Callithrix jacchus: one gene and its partner. The protein of the gene in region 1 purifies or fractionates together with the protein of each later gene. This does not show direct contact. Links are inferred from orthologs where the notes say so. Each region holds a gene or a part of one and is shown on either strand. Other genes may lie near its edges.

Region 1 (8,266 bases):
AGACAGTAGAAAGAATCCAGTGATGTCAAGTTGAAAGCAAGAACAGGAAAAGCTGACTTGGAGAGTTAAGGGTAGGATCCACCTTTTTCAGAGCCAGCACAGGATAGGAGCATGTGGGAGAGAATGGGTCATGAATTCTTCTCTCCGTTGCCATGTTAAAAATGTGTCTTTGTGGCCCAGTCTGCTACTACCATCGATGTATCATCCTTGCAAATAAAATAAGCTTATATGCATAGCATACTGCATACATATCCTATGCTTGGTATTACAAGAAGTAAGTTTTGGAAGGAAACTGAGTCTTTAAATTGGCAACTTCAACATGTGATTCTGTGTAGTATGGTTAATTTGCTTGTAGATCCGAATGTAGGTTATTGCAGTGGTCAAGAAAGTCTCTTTCTAAAGGGCCAGATTTTAGGTTTTGCAAGCCATACGGATTCTGTTATAACTATCAATTCTACCATTTCAGTGTGAAAGCAGCCATAGACTATACGTAAAATGAACAAGTATGCTGTTCCAATAAAACTTTTATTTACAAAGCCAGACTGTGTGCTGGATTTTGCTTGCTACTGGCATAACATCCAATATGTTCACTGGCATTTTCCAGGATCTTAGTATTTGCTATAGGCTACAATGTATTGTAACTACTACTAAGTGTGATGTTTCCTATTTAACAATGTTTTTGGATATCCATAATAATAAGTAAACAATGGAAGTATTTTAAGAACAGTATATTCTGGAGAAATCCCTGGAAATTCCCATTTCTCATGGTCATTCATATTTTTTTTTAATGTATAATTTGGGAATAGAATAACCTCAATTTTGTTGTTAGGATTATGTCAGACAATGCAAGTAATGTGGTTAGCACAGTTTTAGAACTAAAAGCTCACTAAATGATAGCTGCTATAATTAGTAACTCTCAAAGGTGAAGAGTATTTATCCCATTTCATGGAAAAGGAAACTGAAACTGAGTTTAAATGAGTTGTGGAGGTCACATTTAATAGACTGGAAAACTGAGTTGGGCTGCTTAGGTCCATGTTCCTGCCACCATATCCTGCTTTCTGAAGTAGTTCTGGTTAATGGCAATTCCACAGCAAGATATACCATAGTTTATTTGGTTTATGTGCTGGGTGAACAGACAGGGAGAATATGGAATGGTTCTTGAAAGAGCAAGGACTTGCAATGTTTAGAAGCCACAGTTTCTAGAAGCAAAGGATATGGTTGTATCTAAAGAGCTGAGAAAACTTGTCTTGACTTTTTTTTTCTTCCTGTGTGGACTGCCAAGAGCTTGTTTGATTTTAAGTGCTTTTTATGCTTGCCTGTTACTCAGGTCTCATCATATTGCAACAGCTTTTAAGAAAACTATGCCTCTTCTTTTAAACTGGATTACAGAAAACTGTACTGTAATGTTAAATGCTCAAAATTAGAGTCAGAAAATTCGATTGGATTTTTCTTCCCCTTCACAGTCATCCTCCAGCCCCTTGCACGGGATGGTGCCTTTGACCCTTATGAGTCAGACTTTTACACAGTTTGATTAGCTGCCAAGGATTGAAACTCCATCGCCAGATAAGTTGGCTAAATTTTTGGGGAAAAAACTCAGCTCAATGAACGGTTTTTGAAAAGCTGCTAGAGTTTATTATATAGATATTTATTTTATAACACTGAGTTTTTATTACTTTTTTGTTTTGAGGCAGAGTCTCCCTCTGTTGTGCAGGCTAGAGTACAGTGGTGCTGATCTTGGCTCACTGCAACCTCCACCTTCCAAGTTCAAGTGATTCTCATGCCCCAGACTCCTGAGTAGTTGGGGTTACATGTGCCTGCCACCATGGCTGGTGAATTTTTTATTTTTAGTAGAGACAGGGTTTCAACATGTCAGCCAGGCTGGTCTTGAACTCTTGACTTTAGGTGATCTGCCCACCTCAGCCTCCCAAAGTGTTAGGATTACAGGCGTGAGCCACTGTGCCTGAACAATAGCACTGAATTTGATTAGTGCATATAGCTTTTTACGGAGATTGTTTTTATATTTGCAATCTCTCTTGGGGTTTTGAACACAGCAGTTTTTTGCTACCTTTTAGGCCTGCCGAACTTGCCTATCGATATGAAGGGTATTTTTGAGGAGATGGGTACCAAGTAGAACATTCGAAGTGTTAAGTGTCCAGCTCAACTGAAGGGTATTTGTGGGGAGATGTAGAACATTTGAAGCGTTAAGTATCCAGCTCAACATGTTATTTCCCATTTTACCAACCTGGTCTTTCTCGTAATACACCACAGTTTTGATTTCAGTCCATGGTTTAGTTGAGAGCCCAGTGAATTTTAAAACAAATGTTAAATTATATTTAACTTGGAGATTTAATTTTTATCCAGTTAAGTTTTGTGCACTAAGTATGTGCTAAGTATCATGAAATAGAGCTGAAAACTGAAGAATAGTATGTGATTTTTTACCTAGTTTTAAATTGGTTTTGACAAACCCTGTGCATGGCGGAGAATTAAGTGCTAGGTTGAGTCATATAGAATATAAATACCAGAGGAATTAGATCTGGGAAATATAAGAATCTTTAGAGAAGATGGACAGAGGCAGGAGAACTCAAACACTGTCTTAAAGGATGAGAAGATATTTTGTGCGGTGAAGATGATGGGGCTGGGATATTGGATGGCAAGTTAGAAGCACCTTCATAATGAGAAAAAAAAAAGTCTCTGATTTTTAAAGAGAATCAGAAATATATGTACCAGTGTTTATTTTTCGGCTTATCTAAACCTCTTCTTTCCCACCAATACAGTAACTCTCACTTAAAGACATGGTTGACCGTAGGCAGGACAGCTGAACACTGGCCTCCTCTTAAAATGCAGTTAGTTTTTGGCAGAGGGGAGAGCAGCTTTAGTGCAAATCTGCCAAATTTCCCTGGCCTCAGCATCTTGGAAAATACCAGTTTTTCAATAGTTTGTTCTGAAACTCAAAGGTTTGAGTGCTGCTCAGCTGAGGAGTTTGTTTTTAAGGATGCCCACTCTAGAAATGCCTTTTTGCTCTTTAATTTTGCTAAGTGATTGCTGAAAAACACAAATTTCTGGTTAACCTCTCTATGGAGGATAGTTGTACATGTCTTATTCTTACTGTGCCTATTATATGTCTAGATTTTCTTTTCAAATAGATTGTGAACCTCAATTTAAGCTGAAGTGAGGAACGGTTTGATAGTATCTGTAAAACGTTTCCCTTGAATTCCAAGGTGGATGGAAAGATTTTTCCCCATAATTATTGCAGAGTGATACATTTGGGGTTTGTTTTCTGCCTAGATTTATTTACATGAAGGTTTTCTTGGCAAAATGTTCTTTGAGGTTAAAAAAAGGTGCTGTTTTCTGAAAGCAGTAAGTTCTTCAGTATTTTGTGTTACTTAACGATTTGAATGGGAAAGTTTGGTTCTAATAAAAATTTCCTCTTCCTTTTGCAAATGTTGATGTTTTTCAAGTCTTCCTAAAGGAAAAGGGAGCCTGGGTGGGTTTTTGTTTTATATTAGTTATCTAGAGCTCCCCTCCTCTTCCCTTCCGCTTTGTGCTCTTTCCCCACCATTGTTTTATGAGCCTTTGAACCAGATCTGTCTATGCCAGAGATTGTTGCTTGCAAATAGACCAAAATCAGATTGAGTGGATGTACAAGCAATTGGTTACTCTGGTATACTGGATGCCTCTAAGAGGGGCCAGGGATCTTGGAAAGGGAGGAAACCTTTTCATTCTATAGTTTGTACTGCTCAGACTTTTTTTTAAAAAAACTAAATGCACGTAATAGTACATGCAGAGTCAAATTTTTATTTGACTTTGTGTGTGGCAAAGGAAAGAGAAGAAAGGTCTGCAGTACACAGTGTATAGGCTTTAAAGGAACTTGATTTTGAAAAGTGCCGACTGCAAATCTTACTGGTTTTTGTGTTATTTAGAAAAATATTTAAAGACCGTTATAGATCCCTGACCTCTGCACTGTTCTTATCAGTGTTTTCAAACTTTTCTGTACTTGCTGCACTTGTAGATAGGCTTTGTTTTGTGGTCCTAATTGAAAGGTGTGCCAAATGTGCACTTCCTTTAGCCACCGCATTCACAACTGCAGAATTTTCTTCTGCTTAGCTTATTTTCTTTCTTCTTTCTCCCTGCAGCCTGGAGCGTTGTTAAGCGTCGCATTGCCAAAGTGAGAGCCGCTGGAGAACTCATAATCCCAGCAGCGCCTCTTCTACTCCCCGAGTACCCGAGTGACCAGAGTGAGAGAAGCTCTGAAGGAGGGCACGCAGCTTGAAGGACGGTGGACAGATGTGACCGGGAGCCTGTGTTAAGGTAGCTGAGTCAGCTTTACCCAGGAGCTCTCAAAGCGGCGTTGCCAGAACCAGCAGTGCAGCCACATCAACAAATCACTTATTTTAAAACTCTTTGGCAGAGATCAAATCCACAGGGTAAATTCTTTGCCACAAATGATTATTATTATTTTTTTAATATGAATTCAATATGAGAAAGCTAGGACTGCCCTCATAGTTCTTAGTTCTGCCATTGCTTTCATAGTAGGCTTTGTGGGGTGGATCTGCACAGCTATTCTTTACATTTGGCCGAGTTTTTCATATAAACATTGCCAATGTTTCCCTACCTGTAAAATGCCTCTGCCATCCTTTTCACCTTACAGGGCCACCACATTAATTTTTTTCTTTTAAAATAGACCTTGTTTCTTTTAGAACAGTTTTAGGTTCACAGCAAAATTGAACAGAAAGTAGAGAGAGTTCTCATCTATCTCCCCAACACCTCCCCTACTGTCAATATCCCACACCAGAGTAGTACATTTACTACAATCAATGAACCTACATTGACACATCATTATCACCCAAAGGCAATAGTTTACATTAGGCTCAGTCTTGGTGTTGTACATTCTGTGGGTTTGGACAAATGAATAATGACATGCATCTGCCATTATAGTATTCTACAGAGTAGTTTCAGCACCCTAAATATCTCTGTGCTCTACCTATTCATTTCCTGTTTCCACTAGCCCTTGGCAATCACACTGGGCTTTTTACTGTGTCCATACATTTACCTTTTCCAGAACTACATTTTAATAATGTATTTCCTGTGGAGTGTTTTAAAAGCATAAAGAAGACTTGAGCCAGGCATGGTGGCTCATGCCTGTAATCCCAGTGCTTTGGAAGGCCAAAGACGAAGGATTGCTTGAGCCCAGGAGTTTGAGACCAACCTGGAAAACATAGTGAAACCCCATCTCTTAAAAAAAAAAAATTAGCCAGGCGTATTGGCGGGTGCCTTTATCTTCAGCTACTTCAGAGGCTGAGGCACATGGATTACTTGAACCTGGGAAGTTGAGGCTTCAGTGAGCTGTGATCGCACCACTGCAGCCCAGACTGGGCAACAGAACAAGACCTTGTCTCAAAAAAAAAAAAAGAAGTCTTGTTGTCCAGGGTGAAATACTATTAAGGGTGTGATAAGTTATGGGAGTAATAGGAATACCTACTTGGAATAGAGTCAGTAAGAAGTTTCTGTGAGGGAGGTCTGAAGTGCGAAATGTTGATGTGTGTGTCTTTCTGAATTTAGTGTTTAGGTTGCTTAGATATGGTTTGAACCGTGTATATGGAGACAGAAGCAAGGAACTCAGGATTAAATTCTGCCAGGATTGATCTATGCAGCCTTCTTAGATTTAATACTTTTGAGGAAAGTCTCTGATATAGCTGTTAGCTGCATTCTTTTCAAACGAGAGTCTAATGTATTATTATAAAACAGTCTTATTGTTGTTACTATTTTGAGGCAGGGTCTCACTCTGTTGCATAGGCTGGAGAGCTGTGATGCAATCATGGCACACTGCAGCCTCAAACTCATGGACTCAAGGGATCCTCCTGCCTCAGCCTCCCAAGTACCTAGGACTATAGATGCACACCACCACACCTGATGGTGGTGTTTATTTTTTTTTAGAGCCAGGGTCTCACTATGTTGCCCAGGCTGGTGTTGAACTCCTGGCCTCAAGTGATCCTCCTGCCTTAGCCCCCCATTGCCTTATATTTTATGTGAAAGTTAATTTTGATTATTTTATGTTAGATAATACAAAACAGTATAAAGCATAGCCATATCTAAAGATAAAAGTTCTTCCTTTTCCTCTTTCACCTTTGGCTAAAATCTTGGAATACAAACTTTCCTGTTTACAAACGTTTTCATATGCAGATGTTTTTATATACAAACAAAATATGCATATTAATCATGTTAAAAATTGGTGGAACATGACCACACATCCTATTTCACAACTTGCTTTTTAGCTTGACTTGGTATATTACAGATATTTTTCCTTTTAAGCGGAATTTAATGTCAGGGTGAGTAATCCCTGCCTAGTTTCCCTTCTATGGCTGTAACGTAATAATCACCAGTCCTCAAGTGAGAGGTTAGTCCATAATTTAAAGGGGGTAGGCGGGAGACCTTTCACATTAGGGACAAAACTAAGGCCATGACTATTGACATTGGACTTTTGGTCACTAAGGATGTTTTTATTTTCTAAGGCAGACGATGCACTGCTTGGGGCTGTTGCCAAGGCATCAGTTGTGTCAAATTTTTGTTTTTTGGAGGCTGTGTTAATATATTAGCATAGTTGTTAGTTCTGGCTACCATCCTGTGAGCATTTTGAGATACTTTTATGCCCATTTAAGGTGGTATGAGGTTGAATTTGTTTTAAGAGGAAGTAATGAATAACAGAGATGGAATTAAGAGACAGACTTTATTTTGTGTATATATTTATTTGAGGGAGAAGGAGATGATGGCTGTAGTTAATTGCTACCCCTGTGATTCTTAATTATGAAACAGGGTTAAAAGTGTTCAGCTCGGTAGTTTCCTAACGTGGTTAACGGTAAGAGTCACTAGAGAAGTTTTCAGGTATCTGGCGTTGGCAATGAATATTTGTATTTTTGTTATTTTTTTAAAGCATTTGTTTTTAGAAAGGTAGTATTATTAGTGCATAGAAGATTTAAAAGGCACAAAAGAGCGTAGAGTGAAAATTGAGTCTCCCTCCTCTGTCTCCCAAGTACCCAGTGACCCTTCTAGAAACAACTACTGTTACCGTTTTCTTGTGTATTCTTCCAGATATTTCAGAGTATATAATATACATGCATATAACCTATATTACAATTTTTCTTTTTTTTTTTACACTCGTGGTAGCAGTATCCACAGTTTTGTAACTTTTTTCATTGAAATAATGTTTCTTGGAAGTTCTTCCATCGTAACACTGCATTCATTTTTAGTAGATACTTGGTATTCCATTGTAGAGATGTGCTATCATGTATTTAACGATATTGATGGGCATGTAGATCATTTCCAGTTTTTATTATCATGAACAAAGCTATGGGGAATAACCTTGTGTATATATCATTTCAAACATGTGTGAGTGTATCTCTAGGATCCATTTCTAGTAGAATTGCTAGGTCTAAGGTTACATACATTTTAATTTTGGTAGAAATTTTATTGCCAAATTGATCTGTTTATAGACCTTAACAAATTTTAGATTTAACAGCAATGAGTGAGAACACTGATTTCTCCTGCCCTTGCCTGTCAAATATGACTGCCAAACTGATTATTTTATTTCTTAGCCAAAGTAATAGGTAAAAAATGGCAGTTTAATGTGCTTTCATTTGCATTTTTCATAGTTGGTTTGAGATTGAGCATTTTTTCGTAAGTTTAAAAGCCACTTTTATTTCTAGTTATCTTCTTTCTATGTTTGTGTTCTTTGTCTATTTTGCTATTGGGTTATGATTTTTATTATCAAAATATCACATCAAAATTATCGGTTCCCCCTTTTTTATCCTGTGATATGTGCTATTTATATTTTCCTCAGTTGGCCATTTGTGTAGAAATAATTATTATTTTGTCGTGCAGGTTATTAAAAATGTTGTATAGTTAAGATTGCCAATTTATTCACTCAAAGATTGTTTATTAAATGCCTCTTGTGTATGAGAACTTGTTCTAGGGACCAGGCTGTAAAATAGTTTAAACAAAACAAAACAGACCCCAGTTCTTGCTCCACAGCAGAACTTATATTCTTACATTGGAGGAAATGGTCAATATCATAGTATCATAGTTAAAAGACCTTTTTCCGTTTTTAGATTTAAAAACTTACTATCTTCTGGTTCATTCTAGTGTCATGTGGGCTTTTTTTTTAGATTTAAGCCTTTGATCCATCTGAAATTTTAGGTATGAGTTCAACTTAATTCTTCTCTAGATGCTCTGTTAATTAGGTTGAATTGCTGTAACCGAAGGACTGAAATAT
Region 2 (8,280 bases), on another chromosome or scaffold:
CTCTAAATGCTGGAAAAAGGAATTGTTCTGTGGCCCAGCTATACTTTTGAGTTGAGTCTGCCTTCTGTTTTACTAACACCCGGATCCACAGTGTGAAAATGCAAGAAAACCTTCCCTCAGTTATCTGAGTGACAGCATTTGGCATTGTGAGGGAACCCGGTTGACTTTGCTCCTCCTGAAGCTCAGGAGGCTGGTTGCTGGGCGGGTGGCCAGCGGGCCCCTTTCTTTCTGAAAGAACCATGGGTTCTGTCTCACAGAGAGGCTGCAGGGAGCCGGCCTGCCCATGGAGAGTGCCATCCTGCATGGGAAGCTGGGTGAGCACGAGAAGGCGCTGCATATCCTGGTGCATGAGCTGCGGGACTTTGCAGCGGCCGAGGACTACTGCCTGTGGTGCTCTGAGGGCCAGGACCCGCCCCACCGCCAGCGCCTCTTCCACACGCTGCTGGCTATCTACCTGCGTGCCGGCCCCGCCTCCAACGAGCTGGCAGTGGCCGCCATGGACCTGCTGAACCGCCATGCCACCGAATTCGACGCAGCCCAGGTGCTGCAGATGCTGCCCGACACCTGGTCAGTGCAGCTCCTCTGCCCATTCCTGACAGGGGCCATGAGGGGCAGCGTCCATGCCAGGAGGACCATGCAGGTGGCTCTCGGCCTGGCCAAGTCAGAAAACTTAATTTACACCTGTGATAAGGTGAGTACCGATCCTCACGAGCTGCTTCCTGGCCAGTCAACGTCGTATGGAAGGTAGATTTTACTGATGGAAAATAGTCTTTGTCAGTTTTTCTTTTTTTCTGTCTCTGTGACTATAACACATCAATATCTGATCCTACTCATAGAAACTGAGGTCTGTGTGAGCAGAGGCAAAGACTGGGCTGGTAGGTGTAACATTGGTGTAGTTTTTCTCCCCTTGTGGACGCTGGTTATTAAGAGAATCTGTGGGAGAGCTGTGGGGAGGAGAGCAGCAGCAGAATATCAGGCGCTTACCCAGCACATGCCGTGTGCCAGGCACTGACCTAGCATTTTATGTCATGCTAGCTTTTTGTTATCATGACAGTTTTATGCAGTATCTGCTGTCAGCATCTCCATTTCACAGGAGAGGAAACTGAGGCAGAGAGCAGTCACATGCTCAGGAAATGGGCACATTCAGAGCTGCCTCCCTGACCAGTTCAGAACCCCACATTCTTGGTCTTCATGCTATATTCCCCTTCTGGAGACTTCTTTCTTGTAGGCCTGAATTCCACATGGCTGGCAGTCTTTTTTCCAGAGTGGGAATCTGACATGTTCCCCTCACACTTAGAAGCCTTTGCTGATGCCCCTGGCCTGGAAGATGTAGCCCATCTCTCCCCACCTCTGCTTTCCAGCACATATCCTGGCTTTAGCAGAACTTTGCAGATGTGACTTGGTATTTCATACTTAGTTGCTTTTGTAAATGCTGTACCCACTGTCTGGGATATTCTTAGCTTTTTCTTTGGGCCCAGCAAATGCCCAGTCAGAACTTAGCCCAAGTATTTTTTCCCTTGTGAAGCCATCTCAGACCTCTTAAGTAATCACCTTCCCTTTCACCCACCTTCTACTTAGTGTTTGCATTCACAGGTGTCACCCTGTACTATTGGAGTTTGGGTTCTTCGAGGACAGGGAACTTCATTTCTTTATCTCAGTGTCCGTAGGCTAAGCCTGGCATGTTGAAGGCTTCTAGTCCATGTTTGTGGAATGACTGATGCAACTACGGAGTGCAGGACGAATCACTAAGCTGCTGCTTGATCCTGCCAATAGACCAACCTGCCTGGGTTGACACAGGTGAATTGTGTAGAAAAACTTCATAACTTTCAGAACTCAAGTCCTAGTTATCAGACAGGAACCCATGGCATTAAGACTCAGTTTCACCAGTTACATCTAAGGAAACAAAAGGGTGTCTCCCAGGACCAGCGAGGAATATGCCACTCATTAGCTCTATAACTTTGACTACATCCCTTATTTGTTTGCAAATGAGAGAACCCTGAAATTCAACTATTGTATGGTCCCATTCAGCATTAACATTCATGCCTTTCTGATAGGCCGGGCTTGAGATGATCAGAGCCCAGAGAATGTTGGAGAGAGGATCTTGGGTAGAAATGCCTCAGCCAGACAAGCAGCAATTACTTTTGTGAAATAAGAAAAGCATTTATGTAGCTTTTTTACTTCTCCAGTTACTAAGGATGGTTTTATTTACACCTTTAGTATTTTGTTTCAAGAAGTTGATACTTAAGAAAGTCTCATAATAATAACCCATGGAGTAACGCATGTCAACTCTTCAAAACTAGGACATAGCCACTTTAAGTATACCTAACACATGACACCATTCTCAGTCTCGGTTTCTTTTTGCAGATGAAGTTGAAAGGAAGCTCAATTCGGCTCTCAGACAAAAAGCTTTGTCAGATATGCCAAAATCCCTTTTGTGAGCCTGTGTTTGTTAGATACCCAAATGGTGGTCTTGTGCATACCCACTGTGCTGCCAGCAGACACACGAACCCCAGCTCATCCAGCCCTGGCACTCGGACTTGAAAAGCTTGGCCCGAGGACATGAGGGGAACTCCGAGTTCTTTCTGAGCCTGCTGGACGTGAAGAGCAGACAACCATCATGCTCTGTGTCAGCTAGGATGAAGGGAGACATCTGGGTGCCAGGGAGCCTTCCGTCCACACACAACAAGGACTCCTCACTGCTGACCAGGCTCTATGAATGTTCATGGAAAACCTTTAAAAATCCCAAAAATAGAGACATGCAAGAGTTCACCTCTCCAGGCACTTAGTAATCCAAGACAAAGGTGTACATTGAAAAAAAAGGGAGTCTTCCTCATGCAGTCAGACCCAGGTGGGGGATTCCCCCACCATCCCCACACTCCGACCTTTAGACTCATGTTTGCACTGGAAATGTGGCTTCGGCATGACTGGAGAGGAAGCCCTCTCTTGCCTGGTGGGCAGAGCCTCATGGGGGGCAGCCCTGCCCTCACTGCAGAGACACGTTCTCCATCCAGGCCGCTCACTCGTGAGCCCGTTTCCCAGGGTTACCTCGTGGGCTCTGCCTTTGCCCTAAGAAACGGCTGACCCTGGAGAAGTACCTTTGTTCCTTCTTACTTCCTCTCCAGCTCTCAGCTCCCAAAAGATTCTGCCTTGTGTACCCAAGACTCACTCTTGGGTGAACTCATGTCTCTGGCTTCCTAGCAAGTGAAGATCTGTTGAGAAACTGAGAAAGCTTCAAGAGAGAAGCTGCTCTCCCCGCCTTGAAGAAGCCGCGGACACGGGACAGCCGTGGCGGGCACGGGACAGCCGTGGCAGGCAAGGGCCCAGCTGTGTGCCCCTTTCCTGCCACAGCATCTGCTGATTTGAAACTCCATGATGAACATGTTGAACTAAACATTTTTATTTAAATTTGTATCATGTTCATAGTTGCTCTCTTGTTGAGGGAGTCATCTGTCCTGTTTGTTAGGCATATTTTTCCTTGTTAAAATGTACCTCCTGTTGAATACTCGGGAAATTAAAAGGGAAGCATAGTCAGCACACACTGAGCATTCTTTTCTGGAAAGGCCGGTTTTAGCCTCACACCTTTAGCAGGACCAGCAGCGGGTGGAAGTGCCTGTGTGTGTGCTGGACAGGGGCATCACCTCCTGTATGGCACACCCTCCCGAGGACGTCCAGACAGGCTGTGTTACCTCCCAGCACTTTATGTGCCTGCTCTGAGGTGTCCTGAACACACAGCAGAGGCCTCTCATTCATCACAGGCCGGGTATTCCTTTTGTGTTTCTGTATAACATCGATGATGAGCTGAAGCTGTTGTCACTTCACTGCCCTCTTCAGAATTTCTTCATTGTGATGACTGATTTTATTCAATTAGGGACTAACAATAAAGGCAGTCTACCCACTACGATAATGCTTGGGAAACAAGGGTCAGCTTGTACGTATGACAAGAGAGGACCCTGATTATACCCTCTCTTCATCAGCCCAAGCTTTACTGAGGTGGGATGAAGAGCTCATTCTCTGTTCTTTAAAACGTGTTTCCTGTACTAATACTGGTCCATGTATTTTTTTTTTTTTTTTTGTCCTTTTGAGATTCTAAGTGGGCCAAGAAGCAAAAACATCCATGTGTTGTTTGGGAGGAATTGGCACCATTTTTTCTTACCTATGTTTCAGTTAACTAAAGAATAAATGATGAAGAAAATTCTCCTTGTAGCACAACTGTATGCTGTGTGAATTGGTGTGAGCTCAAAGCCTGGTCATGTGTTTTGCCTGTGGGTGACTCTGTTGTAGAATGGTCTTATTACTGCATATGGTATCATGACAACTTGTGAGTTTGAGTTTATATTTCTCAAAGAACAAGTTACCCATATATGCAACATTGCACTATTAAAAGCTCTATTTCTCTGTCCACAAAATGGGTGAAATCTTGAAAAAGCTTAGCAATTGCTCATTCCTAACACGGGGATACTAGTCTTTTTTTTTTTTGAGATGGAGTCTTACTCTGTCGCCAGGCTGGAATGCAATGGTGCAGTCTTGGCTCACTGCAACCTCTGCCTCCTGGGTTCAAGTGATTCTCCTGCCTCAGCCTCCCAAGTAGCTGGGACTACAGGGGCATGTCACCACACCCAGCTAATTTTTGTATTCTTAGTACACACGGGGTTTCACCATGTCGCCCAGAATAGTCTCCATCTCCTGACCTCATGATCCACCTGCCTCGGCCTCCCAAAGTGCTGGGATTACAGGTGTGAGCCACCGTGCCCGGTCAACACTAGTCTTTTTAATTTTTTCAGTGAAGATTGATCAATACTCTGAAATGTTCGTTGTTCTTTAGAATTGTGGGAATTAAATTTGAGCAGTTTTTCATCTCTACCAAATCCTTAACCGCAAGCAGCATTCTATGACAGTATGAAGAATTGTCTAATATGTTAAAACTGTACTTTAACCTTTCTGTCACTCCTCCAAGTTCCTTTCAGTTTGTATTTTTGAGAGAAATGTATGGTTCTTTCTTACAGGCCCGCTGATTTGTAACCGTGCCATTGAATAGAGCAATTAGACCCATCAGGCCATTTTCCCCTCATTAGGTTCCATGTAACCATTCTAGTTAAAACAGCATGAACTGAATCCAGTTTACACTCATATTCGATGGGCAATACTGTTTGGTTTTTGGAACTGTTTATCTGCTGTTGCCTATCAAGTATTATTGTAGGAGTGTCATGCGTGCCGCAATGCACTGGGCTGAGTTCCGCTGCGAAGCTCCCACTGATACGCGCTTACGTGTGCCTCTCACCTCCGGAGTGCAGGCAGGTGGCTGCAGGGTCCCAGCTCTGAATGGATGCCCGTGACACAACTGGGGCAGCCCTTGCTTTTTGCTTGCTCTCACACAGAAACCTTTGTCCATGCTACTTTATCCTTTGCCCCCTATTGGGTCCCAAATACACAAAATGTACAAATGTAAACTTGCTCATTCTTTTAGTTCTTTGTTCTTTCTGTAATTTTTTTAAAATAAAAATTACCTTGATGGAGTGATGGTTTCCACTCACGCCATACCTACTCTAAAGAGTTCTAGAATCTGTACCTTCTTGCTTTTCCCAGCACCTGTGGAGGACTTGAATTGGAAACCCCTTAAATTCTGCTACTGTTTTACCAATTTTGAACCTATCTGCTTCTGAATTTACCCAATGTATATTTTAGGGTGCTCCTTGAGATTGGTTGCCTTCAGATTAATTATGCACTGAGGAATTCAATCAAGGAAATTTCTGATTACTTCTTACCTACTTCACCTTTTAGCCAGATGCTCTTAAATAGGCCTGCTACTCTTGGATTTCTAACCCTGAGCATATTCAAAGAACATAACTCTTACAAAATCTTACCTTTTAATTTTACTTCATCCCCTACACTGTTGTTGATGGTGGGTCTTTCAGCCATCCTGGTGAATTTCAGAACACTTTCTCATGTTCTTTAATTCCAGGTGCTGTTCCATCCCTGAAGAAAGGAGGATGTTCACACACATGATAATCTCCTGAGGAGTTTTTTATTTTGTTTTGCTTTGTTTTTTATGAGATGGAAGTTTGCTCTTGTCGCCTGTACTGGAGTGCAGTGGTGTGATCTCAGCTCACTGCAACCTCCACCTCCTGGGTTCAAGTTATTCTCCTGCCTCAGCCTCCCATGTAGCCAGGACTACAGGTGCTCTGCCCACCACACCCACCTAATTTTTAAAAAAATATTTTTAGTAGAGATGGTTTCACCATGTTGGCCAGGCTGGTTTTGAACTCTTGACCTCAGGTGATCCACCTGCCTTGGCCTGTCAAAGTGCTGGGATTACAGGTGTGAGCCACCACACCCAGTCCCCCTGAGTATTCTGATCCTAATCTCAAATACGTGTGAATAGAGGTGAGGTGTCATGAACTCACACATGTTTCAAATTGAAGAAGCTGAGGTGCAGTGTGTCGAGGTGGTTTTCTTGGAGTTGGAGGAGGTGCCAAGCTAGAGCTGTGGTTCCTGCCTGTAGATTCTCCCACCTCGGGCTTCACCAACCCTGAACAGACAACCAGAATACAGCCCAGGGTGGACTCATATTGGCTTTTAGATTCCAACCATCGCATTGCTGTTTTTAGAAAATCATAAAGCAGCAGGTACATATTCTTTTCTCATTTTTACCTCGTTGTTATCTGAAGGCCCATTAGCATATTAGAGAATAAGAAAGAGGGAGACTTCAGACATATAAACCCAACCGGAAAGGAGGACGTGTAGATTCACACTAACTGCATCACAAGAATGTTACAACGGCAGATTAGGCTAAATGGTTGGGGGAGAGTGTGTACATTGATGTCCTAAATGTGTCTGTCAGTGAAGGCAAAGACTGGTGTCTGACTCAGTTAAATGGGCTGTGACTTGTGTTAGAGTAATTAGATATTAACTAACACCCCATTTGCGCTTAGCAGATCTGTCAACCTTAGCGTTTGAAATGAAAATGTACAAGAATCTAGACCATATGGACTAGAGGCCCTTTCACCTTCTCAGAAAAGCCAACTGGCTGGAGCAGCGTCCACGGCTTGTTAACAGTTGTTGGGAGATAAGCACTTGAATTAATGAAGCCCACTTTTCCTTAGCTTGCAACTGGGGCAGGGAAACAAATAGCTATCATTCAGCCTGCAGTCCAGAGTCGTAAATTAGTTAAATGAGATTACGTGGCATGTGGCAAGAAGGGCTTGGCAAGCAATGCGTGCCACTCCACCGGGCAAGCATGACTTGAGAAGTCAAATGTCAGGTGTCGGGAGTCTGGGCCTCTTGGGGCTGACACATCTGGCTGTGGTCCTTGGTGAGTCGGGTCACCCAGCCCTCCGTGCCTGTGTCAGTCCATTTTTGCATTGCTCTAAAAAACATTCGAGACTGGATTGTTTATAAAGAAGAGGTTTATTTGGCTCGTTGTTCTGCAGGCTGTACAGGAAGCATGTTGCTGGCATCTGCTTCTGGGGAGGCCGCAGGAAGTGTCTAGCCATGGTGGGAGGCCGGGGGGAGCAGGTGCATCACAGGGCAAGAGCGGGAGTGAGAGAGCAAGGAGGAGGTGCCAGGCTTCTTTTAACAGCCAGCTCTCACATGAACTAACAGAGCGAGAACTCACTCATTACTATGGAGAGGTAATTCATGAGGGATTCACCCCCAGGTTCCAATACCTCCCACTAGGCCCCTCTCCAAAACTGGAGGTTACATTTCAACATGAGATTTAAGGGCAACATGCATCCAAACCGTGTCAGCGGTATCGTCCGTAAGTGGGAGGTGGAGTTGGGCAGCATCTGAGTTCCCTTCTTGTGTTAACCTTCTGTTCCAAGGGAGGGAAGTCAGGGCAGTAGCAGTATGGTTTCAGCCTTCATTACCAAATGATGCCCTCTAGGACCCAGGATCTCGGGTGGCCCTTGAAAGCACCCAGCACAGGGCTCATGCACAGCATCCCACAGATGTTCCTCCATAGGTGTGTCTGAGCATGCCAGAATCTCATTGCATGATTCCTTGATTAGGAAAGTGACTCTAGCTCACTCCACCCCTCAATTCCCAGTTCCGACTGGAGTCAGGAGAGGAGTTGGTCTACACATACCCTTTTCAAGTGGTTTTCAGTTGCCCCTTTTCCTCCAGCCTCTGCCAATCTTGACAAAGAATCCTCTTCCCTTTTCTTCCTTTCTTTCTTTTTTGAGATGGAGTCTTGCTCTGTTGCCCAGTCTGGAGTGCAGTAGCATGATCTCAGGTTACAGTAACCTCTGCCTCCCAAGTTCAAGCGATTCTCCTGCCTCAGCC

The links.
Region 2: the proteins of ACVR1 (region 1) and TGFBRAP1 purify together in Homo sapiens (co-immunoprecipitation; 3 studies listed by BioGRID and IntAct, counting the BioPlex papers as one, with this or other methods). This does not show direct contact. The link is inferred for Callithrix jacchus from reciprocal best matches to the Homo sapiens genes ACVR1 and TGFBRAP1.

Annotation. Positions count from the first base shown.
Region 1 is NC_133507.1:72,099,936-72,108,201, forward strand, and holds the start of ACVR1 (activin receptor type-1), read left to right. Parts: upstream 1-4,131; 5' UTR 4,132-4,424; intron 4,425-8,266. UniProt on the Homo sapiens protein: Bone morphogenetic protein (BMP) type I receptor that is involved in a wide variety of biological processes, including bone, heart, cartilage, nervous, and reproductive system development and regulation.
Region 2 is NC_133515.1:15,339,365-15,347,644, reverse strand, and holds the end of TGFBRAP1 (transforming growth factor-beta receptor-associated protein 1), read left to right. Parts: intron 1-257; coding exon 258-691; intron 692-2,364; coding exon 2,365-2,541; 3' UTR 2,542-5,548; downstream 5,549-8,280. UniProt on the Homo sapiens protein: Plays a role in the TGF-beta/activin signaling pathway. It associates with inactive heteromeric TGF-beta and activin receptor complexes, mainly through the type II receptor, and is released upon activation of signaling.